4 linked regions of the Struthio camelus genome follow. The protein of the gene in region 1 purifies or fractionates together with the protein of each later gene. This does not show direct contact. Links are inferred from orthologs where the notes say so. Each region holds a gene or a part of one and is shown on either strand. Other genes may lie near its edges.

Evidence for each region.
Region 2: the proteins of NDUFAF4 (region 1) and NDUFAF1 purify together in Homo sapiens (co-immunoprecipitation; 3 studies listed by BioGRID and IntAct, with this or other methods). This does not show direct contact. The link is inferred for Struthio camelus from reciprocal best matches to the Homo sapiens genes NDUFAF4 and NDUFAF1.
Region 3: the proteins of NDUFAF4 (region 1) and TIMMDC1 purify together in Homo sapiens (affinity purification with mass spectrometry; 3 studies listed by BioGRID and IntAct, with this or other methods). This does not show direct contact. The link is inferred for Struthio camelus from reciprocal best matches to the Homo sapiens genes NDUFAF4 and TIMMDC1.
Region 4: the proteins of NDUFAF4 (region 1) and NDUFS3 purify together in Homo sapiens (affinity purification with mass spectrometry; 3 studies listed by BioGRID and IntAct, counting the BioPlex papers as one, with this or other methods). This does not show direct contact. The link is inferred for Struthio camelus from reciprocal best matches to the Homo sapiens genes NDUFAF4 and NDUFS3.

Annotation. Positions count from the first base shown.
Region 1 is NC_090944.1:53,380,020-53,387,178, reverse strand, and holds the start of NDUFAF4 (NADH dehydrogenase [ubiquinone] 1 alpha subcomplex assembly factor 4), read left to right. Parts: upstream 1-4,152; 5' UTR 4,153-4,156; coding exon 4,157-4,379; intron 4,380-5,153; coding exon 5,154-5,251; intron 5,252-7,159. UniProt on the Homo sapiens protein: Involved in the assembly of mitochondrial NADH:ubiquinone oxidoreductase complex (complex I). May be involved in cell proliferation and survival of hormone-dependent tumor cells. May be a regulator of breast tumor cell invasion.
Region 2 is NC_090946.1:41,250,045-41,257,596, reverse strand, and holds the start of NDUFAF1 (complex I intermediate-associated protein 30, mitochondrial), read left to right. Parts: upstream 1-4,545; 5' UTR 4,546-4,668; intron 4,669-5,224; exon of another isoform or gene 5,225-5,328; intron 5,329-5,452; exon of another isoform or gene 5,453-5,607; intron 5,608-5,946; exon of another isoform or gene 5,947-6,209; intron 6,210-7,552. Other genes in the region: RNA polymerase-associated protein RTF1 homolog, read right to left, coding at 1,359-1,469, 4,159-4,410. UniProt on the Homo sapiens protein: As part of the MCIA complex, involved in the assembly of the mitochondrial complex I.
Region 3 is NC_090942.1:106,494,761-106,501,610, reverse strand, and holds the start of TIMMDC1 (complex I assembly factor TIMMDC1, mitochondrial), read left to right. Parts: upstream 1-3,829; 5' UTR 3,830-3,898; coding exon 3,899-3,975; intron 3,976-4,225; coding exon 4,226-4,391; intron 4,392-6,777; coding exon 6,778-6,850. Other genes in the region: POGLUT1 (protein O-glucosyltransferase 1), read left to right, coding at 90-246.
Region 4 is NC_090946.1:39,014,606-39,021,744, reverse strand, and holds the start of NDUFS3 (NADH dehydrogenase [ubiquinone] iron-sulfur protein 3, mitochondrial), read left to right. Parts: upstream 1-4,129; 5' UTR 4,130-4,152; coding exon 4,153-4,198; intron 4,199-4,296; coding exon 4,297-4,362; intron 4,363-5,010; coding exon 5,011-5,108; intron 5,109-5,368; coding exon 5,369-5,518; intron 5,519-7,053; coding exon 7,054-7,139. Other genes in the region: KBTBD4 (kelch repeat and BTB domain-containing protein 4), read right to left, coding at 1,107-1,727, 3,934-3,952.

The sequences.
Region 1 (7,159 bases):
GGTAGAAAGCATGGAGAGAATCAAATATTAAACTATGTCACTACAGTATAAGGGATTCAAATTTTCCTCTGCCTTAAACACTGGAACTTCTGAAGACTATAAAATGACGTAGTGAACATCATCTGCCTCCTCTCAAAAACTGTCAAATTGAGCATCCATTACTAAAAGAGATTCTTATTTCACCAAGATTACTTTTCCTCTAGACTAATATTCTGATTCCTGCTTTTCTGAGTAGTAAAGAAGGCAGAGAAACCTTGGTAGCATCTCACAATAAATCAAGTTAAAGGTCAGACATCCCCTTTGTCCCTTACACAAAGAGAATCTGCAACAGATCAGTCAGCCTTTTTTGATGTTAATTAACTAATAAAATTAATTTTGGACCTATTTTTCATTCAGCTATAGAACCTGTCAAGAATGAAAAAACAAACAAAACCCCACAAATTAATATCAGAACTGGCATGAAAAACTGACAGAAAGGCTTCAAGAATGTTTGCAAATTTATTTTTATTCTCCAAGTGCAGAACAGTTTTAAGAAATGTCTCCCTCGGATGTGGGAAAGGAGGCAGCCTATGGCACATATATATGATGCCAGTTCCAGTATTTATCTCTGAAATGTTTGACACTGTCTGCTGTTGAAAACAGGTTGCTGGTATAAATGAATTGAGTTGAATATTCTGTGTTGTTCCTTTCCTGTGTTTTGTTATTTTTAAGTTCCCTGGAAAAATTCATACATACATACAGTTTTTATGCTTTGAGGAACTATATGGTCAGTTTTTTTAAGAACATACACTTATAGACACGTGATAGAAAAGGATCCCAGGCTTTTGGTTACTGCTACTTAATATCATCAATATGGTTATATTGATAAAATGCTGAATGATCAAACAATTTTTTAAAATCCCAATTCTGCTGCTGCTACAGTCTAAATGAAAGAGGAAATATTATAACTCCAGAATAAAAATCTTGCACTTCTGATCCTTCCTTATACATAATAAGGACAGCTTTGTGCCATCCTCAGTGATAGGAAGAGACAGGCAGAGAATGACATCACTATTTTTAACTGTCTGTCTTCTGGTGAATTTATTTTGCTGTCAGTAAATATTACAGCAGTGTTAGTCACATTCTGGCTTTACAGAGACAGAATCACTGTGCTGGGTTTGATCCTGAAAGCCAACAATTCTTAGCTTTTGAAGGAGCAGCATCTTTATTTCCAAATTTGTAGCAATGCTTGCATGCACAGACAGAAGAGTAAGAACATGTCTTAGAGAAATACTAAAGTACACATCAAAGGTCTACAGCCACCAAGAAAAAGCATCCATGTGAATTTTACCATTACATTTACCTTCACAACACCGGATAGGCTACCCACCAGTAAAATATCAAACCCCATGCTCCAGAACATAGGCAAAAATCAGCCACTAATTGACTACTGATATTTAATTAGACACGCCATCAGCCTGATTTGCGATATAAAATCTCATAGCGGGTTCCACATTCCTATTATCAGTACACATACAATGCCTAAAATAGGATCAGGTTGGTTATAGGGTGAGTTTATAAACAGAGAGTAGAATTTAAAGAGATGCTTCTATCCTTCCCCTATAGACAATGAGAGTCTTCAAAACGTGGAAGTGAAAAAATTGCCCCTTCAGAACTCTCGAAGAAGGCGCAGAGGAAGTACAGATCAACCTTATGCTGCCTTGCCCTCATTGCCTTTGTGGATCTATTTGTTTTCTTCATCCACCTGCTTTGTCTTCTGAATTCCCTTTAAGCAAAAGCTGTCATTCATTATGCAGTATTCCAGCACACTGTGGCCTTAATAGCTACTGCATCATCACCATTATTACTAATAGTAACGCTGCTACTTACACTACTAACAGGCATCCAGATTTTGCATGCACACAGTGATAACAAAACTAGATGGATGCCAGGACAGAAAATAGGTGTCTTCCTCCTAGAAAGGAACACAGACATTGGACCTTTTAACTAGCCTTCATAGCACTGACTCTTAGTTACTTGATTCAGGCAACTATTACCATGCATGAAGAAAGTCTGCAAACAGGATATAAACAACTCAAAAGTACAAAGCAATTGTGTATAGGCTAAGACAAACAATAGCTAGGATTAAAAAGTCAGTAATACGCTTACCTCCTTTGGTAAGCTACCCTCTCAGTCTGTGTTTGCCAGGCAGTCATCGGTCAGACAGAGAGGGGTCAGCCTTTACTGCTTCATGTAACACTAATCCGTAGTGTTGCTGTTTCTCATTCCCTTTTGCTCTCTCGGAACTTTATAACTTTTCATAGTTATATTCTTCCTCTCTTGAATCCTGAAGCTGCTGGCTCTATCTCAAAAATTTACCTTTGTCTGCAATTTTACCTTTCTTATGTTACTCAGGACTAAGTACTTTCTCACAGCTGTTTTTCACAGTTTAGCAATTTTCTCAGAAGTCAAGGTTGAGGTGATTCAGCTGGGCTGCATCAAAGCTACGCCTTGGATCACAGAAAGCTAAAAAAGAAAGGTTACACCCTAATCAAGACCATAGCTTAACAGCATATCATAGCTCACAAACTCTGAATGATACAAAGGATTTGTTCTCCAAATTGCCGTGTAGGGTATACGTTCTAGACTATATCTGCGTAGAAAATTAATTTTCTGTCACTGAATAAAGCAACTATGTGCTAGTAAGGAAATGCTACACACACTAATGACAGAGTAATAGTAAGATGAAAAACATCCTTAAATATTTCCACATTATCATTATTCAAGTAAAAACTCCAAAGAGAAAACATGTAAGATATTTTAAATTGGCATACTAGTTGATAACAGTCAGAAAAGAAAGTTGAGATAATACCCTTTCTACATGAGGATTCATCATTCGGCAGTATATGTGGTGTCACATGATGACACTGTATGTTGGAGGCTAAAATGTGAAAAAGGAAAAAAGGTGCAGATAATATTTTATACATTGAATGGCCCTCTTATTCGTGCTATCAGGGCCACTCAGTCCGTTTATAAGCTTTTACATCATAAACTACAGCTTGTTGGTGCAGATGACATGTATTTGCCTGATCCGTATTTTCATTGTCTGGATTACACTACCTTCTCCTAACAATTCTCTTGAGGTTTAGGATGTGCACAGGTAATAACCCTGCATATAAATCAAGTGAATACACTTATAAAGTAACATATCTAAAAATCATCTATAAAGCAGCAATTCATATGTCTTTTACCAAAATGCTGACACAGCTGCATCGACGATTACAACACCAAGCACGGAAACCCTAGACTAGCCTGCCACCTTGAGGATGTTGCCAACTTTACCCCAAAAGAAATCATGCAGCATTGGTTCTCCTTATACTGAATATTTGCTTTAAGTTTTGGTGATCAATGTATTAAAAAAAAAAAATCCTATGTACATCAGTAATATTAGTTATATAATAAACCCCACTGAGTTACACCAGACCAGTCATGCCCATGAATGCCTACAACAGGAAGATGTTCTTCCCAAAAGACGAAAGATACCTTAAGATATATGTCGCTGTTGCATGAGAGCATTAGAATTGCACTTTTTATGCACACGTACGAGTTCCTGAAAGAAAAGTGCGATTTTCTCCTCAAAAGAAACAGTAACGCATCTCCGTTCTTGCAGCAATGAGGGAACATCACTCTTTCAAAAGAGTAACGGAGATTTTAAAAGCACAACAACGTACGCACACAGCACCATAGGGAAAGCATGTTCTCTGTGTGGGCTACCGGCCAGTTTTAAGGACGAATTTGTGCACTTAAGTACGCCGGTAGGGTGAAAAGCGCCGCCGGCGCGCCGCCCGCCCGCCCTGAGCAGGGCAGAGCTACCTGCGCCACGCCGGCGCGTCAGCCATCTTGACCACCGAGGCCCACGCACCTGCGAGCGCCGACGCCACAGCGATAACGCGCGCGGCAGAGGAGAAAAACGGTCGAGTCACACCGTGAAATAAAAAGCGATTCACCCTGCTTGTGATTCACACTTTGCCTCAGTACCTCGCCACGCACCACTGGACTCTTACATGGGGAAACCGAGGCACAGCCACGCTCCTGCCGCGCCTCCCCAAGGCGGGAACGGCAGAGCGGCCCCGGCCTCCCCCTCCCGTCCGGCGGCGCGGCGCCCAACCCGGTGCGCATGCGCGACCGGCGCACCCCGCTTCACCCCGCCCCTGGCCGCTGCCGCCGAGTTGCGCAGGCGCGGTGCGGTGCGGTGCGGGTGGCTGCGGCGGTGATGGGCGGGCGGGTGAGTCGCGTGTTCCGCACCTTCAACGTGGAAAGCCGCGCCCGCCGCGAGATCAGCAAGGAGAAGCCCACGCCCGCGCCGCGGCACCCCACCGCGCGGCTGGACGCGCTGGCTGGTGAGTCCCGGCAGGCAGGACTGCCCGCGGCGGGCAGCGAGCACCGGTCCGGCGGAGCGGAGCCGCGCTGCGGCCTCGAGGGGACGGCGGGCGGCGCGGAGGGAGGGTTGCGTTGATAAGGCGCTAGGAAGCACGGCGATGGCGAGCGGGCAGCCCGCGGCTGGCCGGCGGCGGGAAGAGCCGGGCCCGGCGGCGGGTGACATTGAAAACGGAGCGGCCGCGCGCGGGGCACGCCGGGAGCCGCTGTGGCGGCGGCGGTTGGGCGGGGCGGTTGCTAGCAGCGGTTGCTAGGGGCGGCCCCAGCGGTGCGGGGCTGCGCCGCGCCGCGCGGGGGGCGGTTGAGCGGCGGTTGGGCGGCAAACGGCTGGCGTTGCCCTTCGCCCCGCTCGCCTGGGCCGGCTCAGGCTCGTTTCGCGGATGTCGTGAATCGCTGGTCCGCTTCGCGGGCCGCTGGGGAGTAGCGCGCGTGTCTGGAGTGAAGTGAGGCCGTCGTACGGGTTACAAACGAGGGGGGTTTTATCGTGCTGTTTAGCGCCAGGAGTTATGGCAGCACCCCTGTTTCTCGGTGTAAAACAGTACTGTTAATGTTAGAACTAACGCAGAACTGAAATCTGCCTGAGAAACACTGTGTATATTGAGGCTCTGTGTATTGTGATGGCTCTGGGGAAGTGATAAGGCTGACAGAAGTAATGAAAATGAAACAATTTTATGACTCGGATCTTTCTTCTCTCTCTCTCTCTCTTTTTTTTTTTTCCTTCTCCCCTCTGCCTTTAGACCATCCAGAAATACAGGAAGAAATTTACAGAAAGGATGATAGGCTCCTCACTTTGCTAAAAGATGTTTATGTTGAATCTAGAGGTCCACCTGTGCAGGTGAGTATGTCTCGCTGTAGGAAGCATACGAGCATCAGCTTTGTGGTTTTTAGTCTCAACACAAATCCTACCTAGTGGGCAGATTTTTCAAGAAAAATACTCTCTTAGTGCCTAAAAACTACCATTTTTTATAGGTAAAACTGATGTTTTCATTGCCCTTCTATATATCAGTAGCACTGACTGTGTTTGATGCTGAGTGGTCTTGAACATGTGACAGATTATGGTAATGTAACTTTTAAATTCTTAGTAGTCTTTAACCTCACAGTGATTATTTTTGGGTTTTTTTCACCTAAGTTAGTACTCCTGCTTCCTCAAAGCCACAAGGATAATTGGCCAGTCTTTTGGAAAAATGCACAAGATTTTGCAGACTTGCTAGAAGGAAGGAGACTGAGATTAATATAAAAGCATGGGTATGGTAGAGGATGAGAACAATAGTATCAGTAGTTTAAAAAAAAAAAATACTCCAGTGAAATGTTCATGTCAAACTACGCAGAGCCTTTTCCTTATGTGACTGAGGTCGTGCTTTAGTTAGGTTTTTCTGTATAACCTTTGGGATTGTTTTTTGATCAGTTTCCTCATCATTAATGGCTTCAGTCTTTGACTTGGAAGGCAAGGCATAGCCCTTCCGGTAATGTCTAGGCTCGGGTTCAGTCTCCTCTCTTCCACCTCATTGTGCTACATCTTGTGCTTTTTTACCTCTTGCGTTACTGGATCATTTTATTCCCGCTCCTTCATGTGGTAATAAAAGTTATTTGAACATCCAGCAATAAAATTCATAAGTCTCTCTGATTTACTGCTTTTATGGTGCCTTCCATTCAAGATTTAAAAACATCTTAAACTAGAAATGGATTTCTGCAGTTTCTCTCTGAAGTATCCAAGTAATCTCTATCCATTATTTTCGTAAAGAGATTAAGACTCTAACCTTGAAGCGCTAAAGATTTCAATATCTTTGGCTTAATTTCACTATCTTCAAACGCTTCCCTTTGTCAGGCTGTTCAGAGAGATTTGAGGAAAAGCCAAAAGCAGAATAGGTGTCTTAGTACTTGACTAAGTCTGAGAGCCTAGTCTGAGGTGGCTGGTGTGCTTGCAAGACTTGCTCTTGTAATGTATCTACTTAAAATTGTTAGGAAAAGTATGAAAAATGCGTTAGCAGTGAGGCTTACTGGCAAAACTTCATCCAGCAGCTTATTTCTTCCTTTCCTGCTATTAATCTGTATGCCTTGTGTGTGTATGTATACATATGTATGCATACACCTCCACATGTCTGTCTATATTAAGGGGAAAAACATACTCTCAGTTCTGAAGTAGCAGATATCCAGAGCTGGCTTATTTTATTAAGACGTTAAGAATTTGTTGTTATCTCAGTGTAATTTTAGGATGGCTTAGGGAAGGGAAATTTGATAACACATTAGCAAATGTTCTTTGTAATTTAGAAACAGCACGGATGCTTTAGAATCTTTTTAGCTTATGCGTTAATACAAAGTGTCTGTGGGCTAATCAGTGGCCATAGGCTATGATAATTTTAAAAGTAGTGTTTCTTGAGCTTGAAGTTCTTCACTGTATCTTTTCTGCAGTGTCATTCACTGGTAAAGTCCTAGTAAAAAGGAATATGAGGAAGGCAGAGCTGGTTTGAAAATGACTTAGAAAATGAAATGTGAAAGGACTTGGGACTTTGGGTATGTGAGCACTGCAGTAATCATGGGAATTAAATTGCCTATGGAGCTGCAAAATAGCTTTTTTTTTTTTTTGTCCAACAAAGCTTGTGCTGCAGGCAGAGCAAAAGAGGGGCTGTCTGCTAGTTACAAAAATAAGATGTAAATATGAAAAAAGGGAAGGAGAGAGAGAATGGGCTACAGTGATACCAGAAGGAGGATACCAATTTGTAGTATGATGCCCCCACCACGAATC
Region 2 (7,552 bases), on another chromosome or scaffold:
ATTATTTATTCTGTCAGTTTTCAGAGATAAACACAAGCCATAAGACTATCATCAAGGTGCTCTCCACACTTAAGTCTACATTTATAGACAAGTTGGTCTCCAAGCAGCTTAAAAATAAGCTGCGTGCTGGCAGATCAGAACACACCAAGTGACAGACCGAGCAGTCACCCGTTAACACACCTAATATCCAGCTCATTCATATCTTCCTCTCTCCTTATGTATGAAGTATGTATTAGATACAAGTCACTAAATGTAGTAACAAAACATCAGCTATTCTTTTTAAGAAGCTGACTGAAACAGTTGCAAAAGTATTTATTTCATATATCCCTCAGTAAGAAAACTATACTGTCACATTCTTTACAGGTGCTGAAGAACTCCCAAAAGCTTAGCACTTCATAGTTTATCTTTGACCTGCACTATTGGTTTTCAAGTTGCCACAAAATAATCTTTCCTGTAGTTTCAGATGAAAGAGGAGAGAGGAGAAAAAGGCAAAGAAAACCAAAACAAACTTCCTTGTTACATTTTTAAAAATGGATGGAATAAACAACCTCTCTGTATTGCATGGTAGGCTCACAGAGATGTCTCTAACACTTCAAGAAAACATTTTTATTCAAGAAGCTACGTGACCAATTTGTCAGTTCTCTGTTTTAACGAGTCAATTTCAGTTTTCACTTATAGATGAAAGCAGGCACTTTTAACTAGCTCTAGAACCTAACACCAAGAACCCATAATAGAAACATATCTAACAGCTAAGCATTGCTACAGAACAAATGGACAAAACCCTAGAACAAAGTAATTCTAAATTCTTGTTCTCCTCACTTTCTTCAAAAACACCAATAAAAATACACTCTGTTGCACGTTTGGATGATCAGACAAGCTACTTCAAAGTAGCTACTTTGATTCTCCAAGAGCTCTAAGTAGGACAGTTTTATTGCCTCTAAAATAGTACCACCTGTCTTAGCCCTTCTCTCCTTTGAGGAAGGAAGCTCTCTTCTAAAGCTCAAGAGAGAGAGGTTGTCTGCTAAGGGTCCAGCTTCAGCAACTTTGCTGCATCTTCAGCCACAGAAGCAACACTAGTTGCAGGCAAGATCACCAAACCGTTCAAAACATGGGATTAAACATGAATATGGGATTAAACAGGCAATCAACTCTGCTATAGACATTCAGACTATTTTGTACACAGTTATAATTTCTGGCTTGTTAATTAAAAGAAAAAAGTATTTCTGAGTACACTCCCCCTGGGCTTAATGGGCCTCCATCAGTTCCACTGAAGTCAGCACGCTAAATATACTTTCACTGCTTAGGTATGCTCAGACAAGTAACCCATAGTAAATTCAGTGATAACAAGACAAACTCACCTCATCATCACTATCTGATGTCTCAGAGTCTGAAGATGCTGTAGGTTTGCTCACAGGTGGTTCCTTCTCTTCGGAGTCACTGCGTTTCCGTTTGGCCAATGACAAGAGCTCCTAGTGTAAAAAATAAATAAATAAAAACGTATTTTAAAATGATGTCACTAGTTTACCAATTTGGGTCAGCACATATACACCTTCTCTGTGATATTTGAGCACGTCTCAGTAACACGATTATCCCCACAGACTAGGGAACAAAGACTACAAATGTTTTTAGACATCTACGTGCGCGTATACATATGTGTATATACACACACACACAATTTTAATATAGATGAATGCTAGAAAAGGATTTTGAAGATAACAAAACCTAAGTGTTACTGTCATTACTTTTTTGAGATGAACATCATGACAAGTTACCTTCAGATTCATGTCCAGGGCTATAGTGTTTGGAGCGGGCAATAAATTAAGAACAACCTAGCTACACTGTGTAGCATTAACATAAAAAAGCCAAAGGCTTTTTTAGCCTAAAAAAGCCAAAGGCATGAGACTCTGAAGAGTCTCGTGCGAGCACCCTAAATCTTTTTAAAAAAAAAAAAAAACCTGACACGTTTGTAGCACCCTTTAAACTTTAAAAGATACTTTGTTTCTCACGTCATGGCAGATACATTTAGTTAGTCTACTGAATTTCTTTCAACATCCCCTAAGTACCCGAGAATGCACTTAAAGCTTTGGATATACACATAGCAGGCATCAAGCTCAAAGTCTGTCAAACTAAATAAACCTGTTTCCTTCAAAAGAAAGCACCCTCAAAGGCAACACATAGCAGCACAAAGAACTAAATGGCTCACAAATAATCCCATCAGCTGCTTCTTCAGATGACAGCAGTAGTAGCATAAAATCAACACGTTTCTGAAGCTGCATTACTGTCTGCATAGTCTGTGAAACATGCCATATTCTTGAAAATTTATCTCTGGGGCTGATGAACCTGAGCTGCAAGCAGAAGCCACACCAACTTCTGCAGTCTTGGGAAGACAACACTAGATTGGCTTACATGAGTTGTACAACTGGAAGGTTATCTCCACAGCATTATGGATTAGAATTTAGCATCTCAAATGAGAACATAAATACTGCAGAAACCAATGGCCTAGGCTACTTACCGACAAAGAAATCTTCCACTAGTAATGGCATTTTACAAATCTCCCCCTGAAGACAACACAACATCAACAGTGCACAGCTCTCTTGAGGAAGCTCCTGATGTTTTCTATAATTATCTTCTAGACTTTCCCTCTTGCAACTGCCTCTGAATAGTCCTTCAGCCCAGATTACCTGCCTGCATGATATCTGGGAACATTTACCACTATTTTTATTCCAGACAATTTTCCTTTGTTTGCTTTCTACTCTTGTTCTTTCTGTTTTTCAAGACACTGTATTCAAAAGGCTCCTATTCCTTTGGTTCAACAGGACAAGATGGCTACAGAAAACTGTCAACTATTTAACCTGCAGGGACCCCACTTGGCATACTCTCCTAGTCAAACTGCAGCACAGAAACATCTCTTATCCCTGTACCTGCAGGCCTCTGCTGCAATAGTTGCTACAAACAACACCATGGAGGAGGAAGCATAGACAGGCAGCTTTGATGCCACAACCTACTATCCAGGTACAGCTGCAGAAGCATGTTTTCAGTGAACATGGGAAGAGATGGAGAACCAGGCAGCTATTCCTACCATCATTGTTCTCCTTCCCAGATCTAATCAAGGGCTAGTCTGACTCTAATTTTCAGGCTCTAAAGCAACTACAGAATTAACGTACCAGCAGCAAAAAGCTGACAGCCCTAGAGACTGAAGTGGGATGTAGTAAGATCAGCATGATGAGGGCATACACCATTCCAATAGATTTGTCTAATAAAGTCTCCAATTTGACTTTCCTAAAGCTCCAAGTAGCAAAACTATTTTCAAGCGTCTGTGTTTTTGCAACACAGCAACATCTTCCATATTAAAAACCTTTAAGGTCCGGCACATAAATTATGTCAGATACATAGGCTTCAGTACATTTAACCAGCCAAAGCTCCTCAGAGGACAAGCGCTGCTGGATGGCCCACAACATACTTCACCTATAGTGTCTTTCTTCACCATTGATATCACATCATGGATGACTGCCACACTTGGAAGATAAAAGCCCCCTCCAAAGACAGGGACACCCCCTTTGGAGCCCTGACATGACTAAAGTGATGCCAGACACCGTATTTCCAGTCCCAGGAGAAGCCCTGATGATAAGTAAACGCTTCCCCTTGCTACATCTGCAGGCTCCTAACCTCGAGCAGTCTCCCACCGATGGCGCTCCCCCAGCACGCAGCAACGACTGCCCCAGCAGCCCGACCGCCCCGACGGGCAGCGGCGGGACCCGACACGCTGCTCCCCCCGCGGGTGCCCCGGCGGGCGGCGGCGGCGGCACAGGGAAGTTGCCGGCGCCGCGCTCCCGCCGCTCCCCGACGGCGGCGGGCCAGCAGCCGGGCCCGCTCCCGCGCGGCCGCCGGCATCGCCCCACGGCCCCGCCGCGGCCCGCCAGCCCCGCGGGCCGCGCCGCGCCGCCCCGCCCGCGCCTCCCGCTCCGCCGCCGCGGGCCGAGCCCCGCCAGGGCAGGCCAGGCCAGGCCGGGCCGGGCCGGGTCTCTCCCCGGCGGCCCCGGGACACCCAAGGGGCGCGATCCCGCCGGCGCGGCGCGGGCCCGGCCGCCCCGGCGGCGGGAGGATGGCGGCGCCGCGGGGCGGAGAGCCCAGGCCCGGGCCTCCCGCCGCGCCGCGCACCTGGTCCAGGTTCTCCTCGCTGCCGCTGTCCTCGGTGTCGGAGTCGATGAGGACGCGGCCTTTCCGCTTCTTCACCATGGCGGAGCCGGCCCCCGCCGCCGCCGCCGGCGGGGAGGGAGGAGGGCGGAGGAGGGCAGAGGGGCGCGGAGCGGAGCGGCGCGGCTCAGCGCAGCGCGGCGCTGCGCGGCGCTGCGAGCGGCCCGGCCTGCCCCGCGCCGCCCGCCCGCCGGGGACACAAAGGGCACCGAGCATGCGCAGCGCACCGCCCCGCCCGCGGGGGAGGGGCCGCGCCGTGGCGGGCGGTGGCGCGGGGCGGGGCGGGGCGCACGTGCCGGAGGGGCGGGGTCTGGAAGGGGGCGGGGCCTGGGGCGGGGCCCGCCCACCGGCGGGGCGGGGGCGGCCGCGAGCGTGCGCGGCGGTAGCGGGAGGGGTGGTTGCTCCTTGAAGCGCGGCCTGGGCTGTCAAGGGGAATTACAACGGCCCAGGCGAGACTAGCTACAGGTTAGAAAGGTTTGTGGCCGTCTGCGGCGAGACAGCTGCTCTCTGAATTCACAGGAGGGGAGAAATTCCGGGCAGGTCGCTCTTACAAGGGCTTAACGCAGAGCATTCCCCTGCACGGTGCGGGCTGAGGGGAGGTTTTTTTTGCTGCGTTTTATAAGCGTGTTAAATCCGTTCTTCTAGCTAGTTGTGAAGAAGCCTGTAGGCTATAGCTTAGCCTGTAAACTACTGTAGGTTAGCTGCAGTTTAAACGCAAAATAGGGAGCTGAGCTGTAAGGTGGCTGGACAGCTGCAGTGTAAGAGGCTGGAAACTATACCGCTAAGATGACTAAGGATGGATGTTTTAAAATTTGTCAGTTCAAAATCCAAAAAAGTTTCCTTCATTGACTTAAAATACACGCGCAAGTGTAGCACATGCGGAGGATAGCATATGCGTAGCGTAGCAGTACAGGGCAAAAGTAGTGTTTGAGTTTATCCTAATAGGTGATGACATCAAAATAAGTGAGCTAATAATTATGTTTGTGTCTGCCTGTTTGTAATCCCTGGAAGTAAAAGCTTTTAATTGCAGTTTGGTGGTTGTCAGGCTGAGGGTGGTGATTAAAAGCAAGTAGGAGGAGCTTGGATTTCCAAAGCTCAGCTAGCCACTGGCATTCGTGAGGAAAATGCGATAAAGTAAGTCTGAAGACACTGCAGTACGCCACTTAAAAAGTATGGGTCTCCGCGCCCTGCCCGTTGCTGGTGCTGAACGGGAGCGCGGCGCTCTCTCCGGGGAGGCCGCCGCCGCCGCCGCCGCCGGGCCGCCCCGGGCCGCCCGGAACCCGTGCGCCGCGGCCGCGTTCCCCGGCGGGCCCGGAAGCGGCGGACCGGCGGCAGGTGAGGCCGGTCCCCGGCGACGCCCCAGCGGACGCGTCGTCCCGGCGGAGCCCTCGGTTACCGAGCGGGGAGCTCGTGGTCCGTCCCGAGCTGAGGGCGGGGGCGAGTTGGATTTGGGGCCCCGCCCGGGGGGACCGTTGGGAGGGGGCGGTTGGGCGCGAGGGCCCCGCCCGGGGGGACCGTTGGGAGGGGGCGGTTGGGCGCGAGGGCCCCGCCCCGGGGGACCGTTGGGAGGGGGCGGTTGGGCGCGAGGGCCCCGCCCGGGGGACCGTTGGGAGGGGGCGGTTGGGCGGTGACTTGCCGCCCTCGGCGCCGAGGGGAAGCAGGGGCAGGCTGCAGCGTGCCTGGGAAGGAGTGAGGAGTGCGGCTGTTCGAGAACTTTGCTTTCTGTCGTGTGTGTTTTGGGGAAATGTCTAGGCAGGGCTCAGACACGGGCTGGATAACCTCCCGGGATAACTTCCTGGACAACTTTTATATGGTTCGCCCTCGGCGCGGAGGGTATGGAAGATTGTGCATGTGTTTTCTTTTTGAGAAGCTTGCCTCCTTTCTTGCTGAGTGTGAGGGAGAAAATATGACTTCCTTCAATGTAATTTTAGGCTAGAGTGCATAGCTTAGCCTGTAAAAGATCAAGCGTGGAAAAGGAGAACAACAATACTGACCTCTGTCTGGAGTGAAGGAAGGTATTTGACAGATAGGATGAGAATAGAACATGGTTTGCTGCAAGTCTTTTTACAGTGTCGGCTAATATATGGCTTGTTACTCGTAGCTTAGATTTATTATGATCAGGTGACAGACCTCAAAAAGACATTTTGCAAGTGTTTCTGGAAAATAGTACAGTGCTACCACTACAGCTGGTCCAAGATGCAGACTGATTATAATTGATCTAGCTTTCTGATGCATGCTATGCTGTGGAAAGCAAGCTTCATCTCTCAGCTCATGTTGCAAGAAAAAGAGATAGAGAAGTTTAAAAAGGAAATGGGGGGGGGGGGGAGGATCAAAGAACAGGAAAGGAACATCCCACCGCTGTTCCACAGCGGTGGTAACAGAATTGTATGGGACTTCCAAGCTCAGAAGATTTTGTGAGTGAAGGGGGGAGTGAGTGTATTTTGCAACGTAAACGTTCTTAAGGGGAATGAATAAGTTCAGAGGTCCAATATGACACTTCCATAATTTGTCTTGAGTGACGACTCCTTTCTTAAAATCTTTGAGAAGATGAACTGATTTGGCATTGGTTTTGGATTTATTGCATAGCAAAAAAAAAAAAAACCCAAGTAACTAGCAAGGCTAATCTTATGAGCTGGAGATATAATAGCTTCTGTACAGAGCATTGAATATTAAGGCTCTCCATTATCAACTAGAGAATAACTGGGTGGCATGGCCATTCCTACCAGCAGTGACTCAGGGCAAAACAAAGAAAAGACTTTCAGATTTCTCAGTGCTTTATCAAAAAAATAATTGAAATACAATCTTTTGTATTAATGGTTGTGGTCATTTTCATTATTTGCAAGCCTTTTTGTAATCCAAGAGGCCCCTCAGGATGGAAGAAGGAAGTACTATGATTGCTACAGGACTTAAGAATTTTCAGATGCATAACATGTATTATTGTCTGTGACTATCAGCTGAGACTGTCCTTGCAGTCCATATGGCACTAGGGTCTAGCTGCTGTGAATTTGTCATTTTGTTGTAGGGGATATTACTTTCCAGCTATGTAGGTGCCATCTTTTAGAAACATTTTTTTTGTAAGACTGTTTGTGCTACTAACTACTTATGTTACTTAAACTTACTTATAGTGAATGGATAAAGAAGAACTGGGTTTTTTTCTGTCTTCAGTTTTATTTAATGTATTTGACTTAGTTTTTTCCTATTTTCCTGGGTCACCATGGGGAGAAGACATAGGGCAAAAATCACTGAATAAACTAGAGAACTGAGCAAATGTAATACTTGAAGTTATATTTGACTCCTTTTTACAATGGATTAGATTTCTAATTGATGTTCCTTTTTAAAATCAGTTTTACAAGCATTC
Region 3 (6,850 bases), on another chromosome or scaffold:
AGAGTGAAAGTTGGTATACATATAAAACAAAACCATGGACTCTTGTAGGAACTGGAAGTTGGTTCTGACTGTGTCTTGTGTGTCTCTAGGGGACGCCAGTTCATCACTGAGCACTTGCAGATAGAGGATATCTCTTGCTACTGGGAGCATCTGCTGTCTGAGTATTCCCAAGCCTTGACTTACAAAGTGAAAAGGAAGAACAACTACAACGAGATTACTTCAGAACGACTGAAAACAGAACTGTAGAGACTTTGGTGGTTTTCTTTTCAGCTCAAACTGATCTCTGTGGAAATCTAAAGATCAGTGTACCTTCTTTCTTGTCCTCCTGGGCTTATTATCCTTTACACTAAAACTACAGAGAACAGCAATAGGCTAACTTTAAAAGTCTTCCCGTACAGTGGGACCCACTTAAACTGTTGCCATAAGACCATTAAGTAGACTGTTGGATAATGGGTACTTAATGGAGTGGTTATGCTGGTGCCTGGAATAGGGTAGTAAGCGTTTGGGACTTTGTTACTACCTGTCTTTGCCTCAGAATAATCCTAACTCCCATCCAGTCAATGCGGGACCTTTTCTGTTAATTTTACTGGACTTTTCATCAAGTCCTCTGTAATTGTGGACAAGGCGCAAAGACTGTGAGCCCTGCTCAGCTGGGAGATACGTGCCCATTTTTGGCAGATTGGCAGTGTTTTCTTACGTGTGTGATGGCATTTGGGACGTTATGCGTTCCCTGACAGAAGCAGTGACTAGGTTTTGGGGTAACCTTTTTAGATAGCTTAAGACTTAGTTTTCTTTTCGGAAGTTTATGTCAGGTTTCTAAAGCAAAGCTGTAATGGACAGTTAAAAGGACAAGTTCTCCTTGCACACATAAATTACCTACCTCATAGGGGATCCAGTGGTGGTGATGATGCTACCACAGTGCTAAATCTGAGTAGCAGACAATGGCAACTGACATAAAGACAGTCCGTCCTCTGACAGATGAGCTTATCTGGATGCACGCACAGCTATGCAAAACTGAGCCTCTGCTAACAGGCTCTCGCCAGTCCACTGGCCAGATGTCTTAGGACCCTTGGGAACCTAGGGAAAGTATTTGCAGGGATAGATTCAGTTCTTCTTTGTTCCAGATGTTCACAGCGTCTTTGTTCTGATCCCTTTCTATAATCTTTTCTAGTTCTTTTTTTGAGGCTGGTAGCTCCACTGCTTGCTTCAGCATTTGCTTTTCTTTCCCCCAGCTGTTAGATTCCTTTTCTTATCTCCTTCAGACTGGTTTAGGAAATGTCTTCAGTCACACAATGGCAGCTACTCCTCACATTATTCATTTTGAGTTCGGTCACAGGTTGCTTGTGCTGATTAACTGATTTATACCAACTAACGGCTGCTCAGCCCATAGTGAATAGAATTTTTAAAATGTTTTGTGGTCCCTGTGTCAAGAGGGGCCTGGTGGAGAGCAGCATGTTCTCTGGCACCCAGAGAAATTCAGTTCCTCCTGCTTGTAGCTTGCTCAATAACGTCAAAGCCTTGCATTAAAACATTATGTTTCCTAGTGGAAAAGAGCTAGGCATTGTGCTGCTTCCTGACCTGGCTGTCTAGGCCCCTTTAGCTGTTGAGCCGTTTGCCCATATGCTTTGGGATCACTGCTCCTTCTTGTGCCACAGATTGTCTGCATCAGCGGGGTCAGTGACCAGTGGCCTAAGCATGTCTTTTGGGCATGCACCTGTCAGTCGGGCACAGTTCTTAGCAGAGTCCTCCCTAAGCCTTCAGAGGCCTGACTGCAGAGAAGCAACTGCTAAGACTAGCCTGAAACAGAGCAGTGTAAGCTGCAGTGTGGGATCCCGTGAGGCGTCTGCATCCCAAGTGGGCGCCCTTGCTTATAAAGGGGCCTCATGTCTTAGGAAGTTGCACATTAATGGAAGGGAAGAGCGAATGCTAGCAACAGCTCATAATCTTCTCCACAGTCAGTTTGGATCAGAGAAGAAGAAAATGTTCCAAAGAAAAGTAACGCTAAGTAAACATACACATGCATGCGCTGACGAGGCCTTAGCAGCACTGCCAAGCTCTGGTACAGGGAAATAACTGTCAGACATATTAGTCAAACTCCAGTTGCTGGAGCAACATACCAGTTTCAGGACCACTGTCTGGGTTATCCCAGTGTACAAAGAAAACAAATTAGGGTATTAAAACAGTTTGTTTTCTGAGGGGAAAAAACTGTAAGAGTGGAAGGGGTTTTCTGGTTTTGCATTTTTAGTCAACAAAGAGCAACCTGAGAAATTGAAACGACTATGTAGAATATTTTAAACCATTTTTAATGAAGGGCTTTTGGATTAAAAACAAAAAAGTGTTGTTGGATACATCATTTTTTAATCTGAAGAATAATTTTGTTGTAATAAAGATCTGGACAACCACCAGCTGTTTCATCTAAGAAGTTGAAATGTGTCTTTGCTTTTTCTCTTTGATGGTAACATTTAGGGTGTCTCAGTGGAGTGGATGAAAGAGAGAGCTCTTCCCACCTAAGTCTCTCCTTAAAGTCTAGCTAACGGTGGCTAAAAACTTTCCACTGGTTGTTCAATAGCCCGTGTGAATCGGTACATACTTTTCAGTCTACTTCCTTTTTCACATTACTAAGACAGCCATAATTAATAGGGCTCTCAGCTGCCGGTCTTGGCAGATGGGACAATGCCTGAACGGGCAGCGAGATCGCTTGGAGAGGTGGTGAGCCCTTCCTCACAAGTAGGATTTAGATAAAGGATGGAGTGGTATGTGAAAGCTGTTCTGCAAGTATGGTATTTGTACTGCTGTAGTTCTAGAGACTAAAACTCAGTTCTGATTTAACCACTGCACACACAGAAAATAAAAATCTGTAACCTCCCATCTAGTTAGCATGTAAAAAACAAACGGATAAAAACGAGACCAGGCAAGGAGGACCAAAAGCAGGAGGCTGATAATGGATATGCTTGGCAGAGGTCTCAGCATGCCAGCTGACTAACTTTTTTGCATCATTAAATAGAAGAGTTGGATAGATGATCTGGAGAACAGGGACCGTGGCGCAAAGGCAACCCCAGGCACCTGAGTAGGTGCTCCAGGTGCACACAGGCAGCAGCTCGGAGAAAGCAGTGAGGTGCTCCTTGGAGAGCAGCCGCCTCAGCCCTGCGGCTGCACCGCTAGCAGAAAGTTTCTGGTAGCCCGAGGCATGGCAGACGAAGCGGAGGGGAGGCCCTGGCAGCAGATCCTGTTTTCATTATGAAAGATACCACACTTACTTCATGTGGTAGAAAACAGGATGGCAACGAAGGGATTAAAGGAAGAGATGGTGAAGGAAATCAGTCAACAAAACCCGTTCTCGAAGCAGGATTTTGAATGAGCAAGTGGGTCGAGACCTCTGAATGCAGGGTATCAACGTTTTTCATTCAAAGTGTAAAGGAAAAAACGTGCCTTAAGCTGCCCTGGGACTGGTGTGAGCTGCAGCTCAGGGTGCAGGAAAGCACTAACCACTGCCTCTGTGGTGCCTGCGGTAGTTCTGGGTACTGCGTGGCTCAGGTTTCCCCGGAACTGCCCTCTTTTATTTTCAGAAAGAAACAACAGGCCTGAGGGTTTCGTTGCTTTCTTTTCCCCCTCCGCACATAACCTTTAATCTTGCCGACCCGCACAGCGACCCGCGGTAGGCGGAGAGGCTGCGGTGGGCGCCTAGGGCCCCAGCAGCCGGCTCGCCCTGCCTCCGCCGCGGCAGGGCGCCGCCAAGCCGGATTTAGCCCTTTGGCTCTCCTCAGCGATCTTCACAGCTTACACGTTACAACCGCGAGGGCCCGCAGCCCCGTGTGCCGCGCCCCGCCGCGGGGCAGGGGGCGCTGCTGCCGCCAACTGCCGCCAACCGCCGCCAACCGCCGCCGCGGGGGGGACGGGCATGGCGGAGGGGCTCGGCCGCCCCGCGCCGCCGCCGCAGAGGGGCTGGGAGCGGCTCCGCGAGCTCTGGCAGCGCGAGTGAGGGCCGCGCCGCGCCGCGCCGCGCCGGGGGGGCGGGGGGAGGAGAAGGGGGGGCGGCCGTTGCGGCCCTCCTGTGGGCGCGGGGCTGCTTTATTAAGGGGTTTGCGAAGGCGTTTTCGGGGTGCGCGTCCGGGCGGAGAGGCGGTTTGAGCGGACGGATTTTGGGGAGGGAGGGAGGGGAGCGCTAAGGTTAGCGCCGCGGCCTGTGACCCCCTCCCCATCCCCCTTCCCCGGCCTTTCTTTGCAGCGAGCGGCAGCAGTTCCCGGAAGAGACGGTGAACATTATCAAATCGGCGTTTTCGGGGGGCGTCATTGGCTGGGTGTACGGCGGGCTGCCCGCCTTCCGCCACGCCAGGAAGGAGTTCATCGCCCGCAGCCACGGCGAGCTCTTCCAGAACCGCGTCGACGCCGTGGTAGGGGCAGAGCTGGCGCCGCTCGTCCCCCCCCCCCCCTCTCCCCGGGCACGGGGTTCGCCCCTAAAACCACCCACCCCGCGGGGAGGGACCGCGCTGGGGCAGCGGCTGAGGCTGCGGCTGGGGAAGCGTCGGGTGTTGTCCTCCTCTCCGGGGGAGGGAAACCTGCCTCGAAGACGCCGTTTGAAAGCCCTGAGTGGGCTTTAGCTGGGCCCCCTGAGGAGGAGGGTGCCCTGGAGGGGGGGAAAAAAACCAAAACAAAACGAAATCAGGTTTTTATTCCAGCTTGGTTTGCCTCTCTCACACCCAGATCTACAAAGACAGCTAGGAAACATCCGTTTAGAGAAGGAATATGGTGGTACTAGACTGACTGGGAAATGCGAGCGTGTCTGCAGAGAGACGCCCCTGTGTAGCTAGCTTGGGTTTTCAACAGTTAGCCTGTGGAGCCTGTGTTCACGCGGTGCCACCCTCCCAAAATGAGCCGCTCCTCAGGAGCGAGGGGAGAGCTGAGCGGATGAGCATCGGGCTGCCGGCCACGTACCTGTTGGTTCTTGACCGGGTGACGCTTTCGGGATTCCCAGTGTTAGGCCGCAGAGATAAAACATGAATGTAAAAGTCGGAAAATATAAAGGTCTCAGTTGTCAGGGTTCGATGGTTTTGTTTTGTTTTCAAACTGGGCTTCACTTACTGGCTGCGGCCATTGTAAGGTCAAAGCACTGTATGATGTACCTCATTAATAAGATCAGAGTGAAGAGGGAGGGGGTAATTTCCATTGAAAATGAGATTTTAAGGTTTTTTTTTTTTTTTTTTGAACCTGCTCTTCCAAGGAAACGAGCAGCATGTGATTGCAGTTCACTCTATCTGCTTTGAGCTACGTTCAACCCTGAACCAACAACACTGCATTGCTCTGGGCAATTTCATTCTGATTTGACAGGGGCTAGAGGTTTCACAAATAATTATATTCCTACAGTGTCATGAAAGTAGACATCTTGTTGTGATTTGGAAGTGCCCTAGTAGAGAGGAAGGCTGCACTGCAAGCATGCAGAGACAAGGCACCTTGTAAATGCTGCAGCTGTGCAAAAAGTTTCCGTTGGGACCTGCAGTTTGTGATGAGATGTAAGCCAGTAGGAGACCAGGCTTCTGGTGCTGATGAACTTGTTTAATAAGATGCACAAAACACAAGGGTGAGTGCATGCTTAATTTTGAAACCCAGTTACAATAATGGGCAAAATACCAAAGTGTTTGCTTTATGTGTGTAAATACGTATAGTCTGTGTAATCACCTGTTGTGTTGTGAAAATTAGCTATTCAGTTATACCCAAATTCTACGTTTAACTTAAATTGTCCTTAATTATAGGAAAATTTGGTAACAATATTTACATTCTATTAAATGACTAGTTAAATAACTTCTCTTGAAAAACCTTTTGGCTTTTAAATTTTAGCGTGATGGTGGCTGACCACTCTGTAGTGTCAAATTATCAGTCTCCTCTTAACTTACTGATGTTTTTTGTTTTATATGCCTGTTTAAAATATAATTCTTAAAGCCTATCACTGCACCTCACCATGAAGAACACTTCTGATGTTTCATAGAGGTATTTGGACTTTTGGGGGTTTGTTCTTCAATTAAAGTGTTAGTAGCCTGGATTATTAGAAACAAAAAACTTATGCCTGGTTTTACATCATTCATTATTTAGATATGGCTCCTGACTCAGCTGTTGGCGAAGTATCGGTATCTGGCTTCACTCTCTCCTTCTACTGACTTTTCTTTTGTTTTGGCACCCAGGCTAAGCCCTTATACCACAGGCACTGGGAGAGAGAATTTGGTTATTTTCAATAGTATTAACTGGAATATTCTTTTAATTTTTATGAAACTTCTTTTTATTGCATCTTTTAAAAAGCCTATTTTATAGCCAGACTTTCAAATACCAGTGCTAAACTGCAGAGTTTGAGGGTGTCTTTGATGGGTTACTGATGTGTTTAATACATATCAACTAATAATAATTACGGGCTAGTTTTCAGTTTGTCCCTCCTTTCTTCTCCTCTTTTATGTTATTCTATTACAGCGTAAAAAGTGCTTCCTTAGAAAGCTATCACTGTCCTACCAACTGTGCTCAGCACCATGATTAGGAAGACCAGTTGATGTTGCAACTGAAATTAATTTTTGGTTTTCCTGTTGATGGCCTGGGGAGGAGCATGAGCTGCTTTTCCTTTCAAGACAATCAACTCTGTCCTTAAGGGTCAGGGTTTCGTTCCCAACATTTTGAGGGACATCAAGCCCCATAGCCATTGTGAATACTCCGTATCATCCTCTTCAGAATACAGTGGACTTGTGCTGGCTGAAACGTAGCAGGTCTGAGATCTGTAACCTTTCTTCTCTCTTACTCTAGCAATCAGCTCACCGTGCCGGTCTCAGGAGCTTCATCCGCTATGGCTGGCGCTGGAGTTGGAGAGTAGCTGCTT
Region 4 (7,139 bases), on another chromosome or scaffold:
AGGCTATTTTAAGTCTCAAGGACAGATTTGCCAATATTCCAAAGAAGCCGGTCACCCTAGGTTTACGGGTGTAACAGCAAATACGGCATATGTGACACAAAGTGCAGTGATTTACCTGTTTACAGAGGTTTTTGGTTTTGTTATTTTTTAATTATAACAACAAAGGAGACTGCTTTGGGGTCCCATATCCAGTATTTCTGAATGTATAAACTTCTTCTACCCTCTTGCTTTCTCTAAGAACGATACAGAAATCCACAAAAAATGGAACTGTACTGCAGCATCATGGACAGGTTTTAAAGCCCTGGCTGTATGCTACTAAGGCAGCACAGAATCTTTAGGGATTGGTGGAAATTGGACTAAGATGTTGACGGGTTGACAGGTCCTTCACAACACTGACTCATTGCAACCTTTCCTGTAGAAGGCTAGTACCTTTACAAGAAGGGTAAATACTGTATTACTTAAGATTTCACAATGCCTCTAGTTGAGTCACCTGAGTGTCTAGCCTAAATAATCCTAACAATTAGATACAATTGGTAATAACACTAACAGAAGTCTAGAAATACAGCTTGTACTCAAGCCTTCTTGGAAGTTTTCAGTTGATGCATTACTATGTCAAATGATAAAGAATGAAAAAAAAAAGACTTTCATAAGATACTAATTTTTTTGATAAGGCTTCTTTTTTTTTCTCCACTTTCCATGTAAACAAAAAGTCACCAAATTGTTGAAGATTAATAAGCTGTGTTTAAGACATCTATAAGCGTGGATTCCTTGTTCTCACAAAAACATGCAAGATTGCGTGCTGCTTACCTGTTGCCTCAGGAACTGCTGGGAATTACCAGCATCCTCTATGTTCCTGTTAAGTCTTTCCTTCCTAGGACTCTGCTTTATAGCTTAATCGCTTTATGACCAGTGTTGGTTAACAGTTTTCTCTGATGAAACTATGGACAATGTTTTGCTTTGCTTAGCTAAGCCTCTGAACAGACAGTGATTATGAAAGCTTGTATCTTTCCATCCGTCTTGGTTATTCAGTCCCTACCACACTCTCATACTACAGTCTCAAGTCTCTTTCCACGTTCACATTCTGGCTAGTCTCAAAAACTCCTTACCTTTAAGGATGTCTGTCAGTAGGCGGAGAGGTAGGTGTAGAAACTCCTCTGTGTCTTGAAGTTGAGACAAATGTGACTTGGCACAGTGTTTGGCAGCTGTGTAGAGCTCCATGTCACTGTGTTGATCTGCTAACCACATGACCTGCAGACAGTTCCTAACCTGCACCGTACGGGCCAGAAAACGTGAGCATTCTTCAAAAAGGGCAGTCAATTGGTACATGTCTGCCACTTCATAGGTTTCTTGCAATTCCTCTGCCCTCAGCTTTACAGTCCCATGGTAAATGTAGTCCACAAGGAGCTGAAAGACACTCTCGCTAACATCCTGCAGCTCAATCACCCGGTTGTGGGCCTCCTTCAGGTTGGAAGTGAACATGGAACGAAAGAAGCAACTCTGAGCCGAGAGGACCAAACGGTGCAGCTGGAATTCTTTACCTTCCACTGATATTGTAACGTCAGCAAACAGCTCATCCTCCAAGCATAGTTTCATAATGCCCTGGGCCACGCGGCCTGAGTGGGAACGATCAGTGAAGGTGTAGTTCACAAAGTAGTTCTCTTCTGTGGAAGAGCCTCCAGTCTCTTCTGATGAGTCCATGGTGCTGCACAGATCAGACCTCCAGCAATCTGTAAAATCGCAATGGTTATAAGACCTTCTCCCTCCACTAACAAGATTATGCAGTAGTCCAGGGTACAGGGGAAAATCAAGGATATCGGTAAGAGGCCAGCGTACTTTAGACTGAATATAAATAGTGCTGCCAGAAACTTCTGCTTGAGCTTCAGAACGTCAAACAACTAAAACAAATGAGAAGCTGGCATGTTTAAAATTATGAAATATACCAAACTTCCAGTACAGTCCGCATCACATCCCAGCAGAATTAGAAGACATAGACATCTTTTCACCGCTCATCTCACTGATGCAAAGACGTGCCGCAACAGCTATTCAGGTGGAAAATCCAGCAACCACACTAGAAAAGTGGCAAAGCCAAGAGATTGCCGCAGTAGTACAGTTGTGCTAGATGGAAGAAAGAAGGATTACAGTATTGTACTAACAAAGAGCAGAGGCAGCAGTTCATATCATCAGCAGGAGCCAATTATCATCCAAAAACAGCATCATGAATTTTTGCAGTGGTATCAAGTACAGCAAGTTTGTTTTTACCAAAAAAAGAGGCATAAAAAGCCTACCAGACATCACCACCAGTCCTTCAAACTAACCAACTGAAAAGCCTACCAAGTAACTGATGGTCAGATGCAGTTTGCTAAGGTGCCAGACATCTTCAATACGCAAAACAACATGCTAGATGTTGTTAGCCACTGTTTCCCAAGTGGCAAGGAGAACTCAAATGGCAAGATGATACCTCTTAGTAGGAAACAGAGATTATTTGCAGAGCTCCTAACAGTTTGTTGGTAGAGAAAGAGGCTTATGACCCAAAGAAGAACTGCTGTAGAAAAGAGCTTTTCTTTAACATGGATCTTGACTGCATTAGAAGCAAATAGATGCCTACCTGCATTCACATTAAAAACTTATTTTTAACCTCAACCATTAGCCATAGTCACTGACAGCTCAAATTGCTTCAATTAATACTGAACATGACTTCTATGCAACATCACCCAGGGACAGGATTTTATCCTACAGATTTACCGTTACTCTTCCATGCTTTATTTTGTCAAGGGTGCACTTTCTTACCGTTGGTCCACGTGGTACAGGAGGGCTTCTAAATTTTTTACTAAAATTCCGTTCACGAGAGGTAGCTTCTGCATCCCTAATTGGCTGGACAGCTCTTTCCCAGCCCTGATGATTGCCTGCCTTAATTATGCACTTTTCCGCCAGGCTTTAACTATTATAGAATATCTATACGTTAAGCTGTAAGAGACTAAGAAATTGCCATCAGCGCAGAATATCTCAATACCATTTTTCCAGCAAAACATGTTTCTGCAAGCACAAGCCTGTCATCCACATTAGCTCCCACTTCAGTTCCTGCTCTTGATCCTTACATTCAAGGTACCCAAAAGCCAAAGCGCAAAACCCCTAAGCGACTGCCCAAGGACCAGGATAAGGATGAACTAACAACCTGCCCCCTTAGCACAGGGGAACCGTCTGCCCAGGGAGGCCTGCACAACTTCCAAGGGACTGAAGCCAAGCCACGAAAGAAATGCCAACAGCAGCTAAAGGCTACCGTAGATCTCGCGTCCCCCTTTGTAAACAAAAAGCCGTCCTTTTCGTCCATGATTTCTCCGCTATAAAGAAAGAGAAGTACAGGAACATTAAAAACGTCCCATGAAACAAAAGTTTACACTCCACACGTTCCTCGTGCTAGAGAAACAGTGAGCTGCAGTATGCCTGGGATTATGCAATGACCTAACTAATAGCCAGCACACCTACTTCTTTGCTTTCTCCTGAGGGGCTCACAGATGCCACGACAGCTAGTGGGGTCAAAGAAGTGAAATACAGAATTGCCAGCAACTTAGGGGAGGGGGGGGAAAAAAAAAAAAAAGGAAAGCTAGTTCTCGGGAAATCAGGGATTACCATTAAGGCCACTTTAAAGCTACGGAGAGACGCACAAAATCTAAAAACGCCCGAAGGTTAACTAGTCTCTAGAGCAGCGCTTTCACCGGGGGGATCCTTTAGGCTCCCGCCTCCTCACCCCTAGCAGCGAAGACATTTTGCAAACGTCGTTACCCGGCTTGGCCGCGGCGGCGCCGCCTCCTCGGCGGCCGGATTCACCCCGGCGCCGCGGCCGGGTCTGGCCCGGGCCCGGGCTGGGCTGACACCACCCCCCCCCCGCCGCCCCCCGGGCCCGGCCGGGCCGCCCCTCGGGCCCACGGCACCCACCTGCGGCGCCTCCCTTCATGCCGCCGCCCCGGAGCCTCCCGCCGCCGCCGCCGCCCCGGGGTGCCCGAGCGGCTCCCCGCGCCCCTCACCCTGCGCCAGGCGCCGCCAGGCACACTCGCCACTTCCGGCCACCGACCCGGAAAGGCGCCGGGTGCATCCGGCCGGCTGCGCCGCCTTCCGCTTCCGGCGTGTGCCCTTGCGCGTCCGTGCCGCGGGGGGATGTTGGCGGCGGCGGCGCGGGGGCTGGCGCGGGCCGCGCTCCGAGGTGAGGTGAGGGCGGGCGGGCGGGAGCTGCCGCCGCCGCCGGGCTCGGCCGCCCCTGCCCCGGGGGGCCGCCTGAGCCGCGTGTCTGTGTGTCCGCAGGTGGCGCCGGCCCGGCGGCGGCGGCGCAGGCCCGGGCGGCGGGGGGCTCCGCGGGCGAGACGCGCCGTAAGTAGCCGCCCGCGTGCCCCTCTGCGCCCTTTCTGGTCGCGCTGCCGGCTCCGCGCTCTCCGCAGTTGCTCCGGGGTCGCGGCTCGGTAGCCCCTCCGTGTCACGAGTCTGGCCTGGCGAGGAAAACAAGCAGACAAACATACAAGGTTGCCCAAGAGCAGTCCCGAGGTGTTTGGGGTGTGAGGAAGCTGCCTGGGTGCCTGCGCATCACAGGAAAACATGACCGTTGTGTTTGCAAAAACAGCCTGTTTCTAGATCCAGCCTGCGTATCGCGAGCGTTGTCTAAACTCAGGTTGTTGCAGCGTTTCTCTCTCTTTTTCATCCTGCTATTTTCTTTTGTCTTGTTGGACTGTTCACTCCTGCTGTATTTGCAGTGCACAAATAAAGCTTGTTTTCCTTCCCCCCCCCCCCCCCCGGAGGGAAAATGGTTGGTGGCCCCACGGCTTAGCATTGATGTGAATGTGCTGTTTACCACATATATTGATATAGTCTGATCTCTGTTCTAGTCCACTGTATATTCCACTATATATATGTTATATTTAGTTACGTTTAGTTGGAGATGGCCCGTAAATGAGCTTCGGGTGGCTACTCTTCTTTCTGTAGCTTACTCTGTTGTAACTTTGAGAACTTTGTTGTTCTCTTTAGCTACTGTCAGACTGAAAAATGAAGTAGAACAGAAGCAGCTATGTGCTTTTGGGGAGTACGTGGCTGAGATTCTGCCCAAGTATATCCAGCAAGTACAGGTAGGTGCTGTCCATGGAATTGCTCTTGGGAGAGGACAAATGAACGCGCTGTTTCTTTGTTAGATGTGAGAGGTTGTTTTGGGGAAGACAGATTGTCAGAACTAGATAAAAGCTACCGCTCTTGTTGAGTCTCTTTACTTGATGTCAAGTATGTGTCTGCTGTGCCACGTACACTCCTGGCTGAAGTGTCCTGCTGGATTCAATGCAGTGCTCAGTCACGTTAGTGTCTGTAATAATTCTCCTTCCACTGTTTTCTTTAGGTGACCTGTTTCAATGAACTGGAGCTTTTGATCCATCCAGAAGGGATCATTCCAGTTCTGACCTTTCTTCGAGATCATACCAACGCTCAGTTCAAATCCTTGGCTGACTTGACTGCTGTTGATGTTCCATCTCGACAGTATCGCTTTGAGGTAAGAATTGTTTGTAGGTACAGGACGCCGAAACGCGCACAAGTGCTGATGGTTTTGGATGCTGTTGCAGCTCTGACCACATTCTTTGCTTTCTGACAGGCAAACAAATCCACGCTGAAATGCTGGGTTTTGTTTAACCTATTGATTGTGGAAGCAGTACCGTAACTGATACTGCACTGACACGCTTAGTTAAATGGGTTTGTAGCCTGAATGGCTTTCCTTTTGTGCTCTACTGCAAGTTTCTTCTTTCTTTAAACACTTTTTCTGGCCAGGTATGAATTAGTACTCTTCTTTCTTCCACTTATGCCTGTCAGCTGTCATTGACAGAACCAGTCATGTTTTTCTTTAAATGCTACCAGTTTTCTCCCTAACAATTTTCTTTTTCTTTAAAAAAGATGTGTAAACCAGTAGAAGATACCTGGGGATCATGTGCTGTAGGAGGTTGGTTATGATTTAGGAGGAAGAGATGTCCTTTCCTTGCCCAGTTTGGGCAGGCTGTCTTTCAGGCGAGAGAAAAATCTGAGCAGCATGATGGTAGGCTTTTGGTTCCCAGCAAGTAACAAGGATGATGAAAAGTAGCTGATTTATTTCTCCTCCTGCATCTATTGTGTGATATTACATCACTTACCAATTGCTGCTCAGGAAACAAAGTAAAGGATGGCAGGTTTACCTTACCTGAATTACCTAATCAGAGGATGTCTGGGTTTTTTTGCCTTTTTTTTTTTCCCAAATATGGCTCTTTGCTTTGCTAATAACAGCTAACAGTTATTAGCTATTACATTAATAACATAACTAGTGTTAGGCTAAAATACCTGAGAGGTGAATAGTGTTTCATATCTCAGAGGCATACATTCTCTGAAGAAGCCAAAGATTCTTGAATTTGGGATTTTTCTTTCATAAATCAGAATAATAGAGTAATAGACATATACAACTTGATTAATTCACGTTTTCCAGCTACATGTATAAAGGCAGTCAAACATGCTATGTGATACCTTACACATGTTTTTTTTAACTCTGCTTGTTGTATGTTTTTTTTCTTCTACTGGTGGGTCTAATAATGCTCTTAAGCAGACTTTATCAGTATTTCATCACCACAATAGTTGAAATGTTCCCTGCTATCCAACTTCATTGCTGAAAATTGAGTGGATTTCCTCTTATCTTTCTCCTTCTGCGTGCTGAGTAATCGATAGCTATTTTCTTTGTGACGGATCAGTTCAGTGTTTTTTTTTTTTTTTTTTTTTTTTTAAGATAAGTATCCCTGTTTTTTTGAGCTCTTCTTTGTAAGTCATGTTTTCTGAATCTCTCTTCCTTTTTGTTACAATTCTAAGGACAAAACGGAGATAAGCTATTAGAGCCTCAGTTACAGAGTGTCTTTTAGTGCCCAGCTCTGAAGTGCTGATGTGATTTTGCTGGAAGAAAGTTATTTGAAATAGCCTACATGTCTCTCTGCTCAGCCAGTATTATATTGTGAAGAGATCTGTAAAGTCTGTACAAGACCAATGCTTTTTTTTCCTTTTCTTTCCATTTTGCTTCAGATTGTTTACAATCTCCTGTCTTTGCGGTTCAACAGTCGGATCCGTGTGAAGACATATACTGATGAGCTGACTCCTGTTGATTCGGC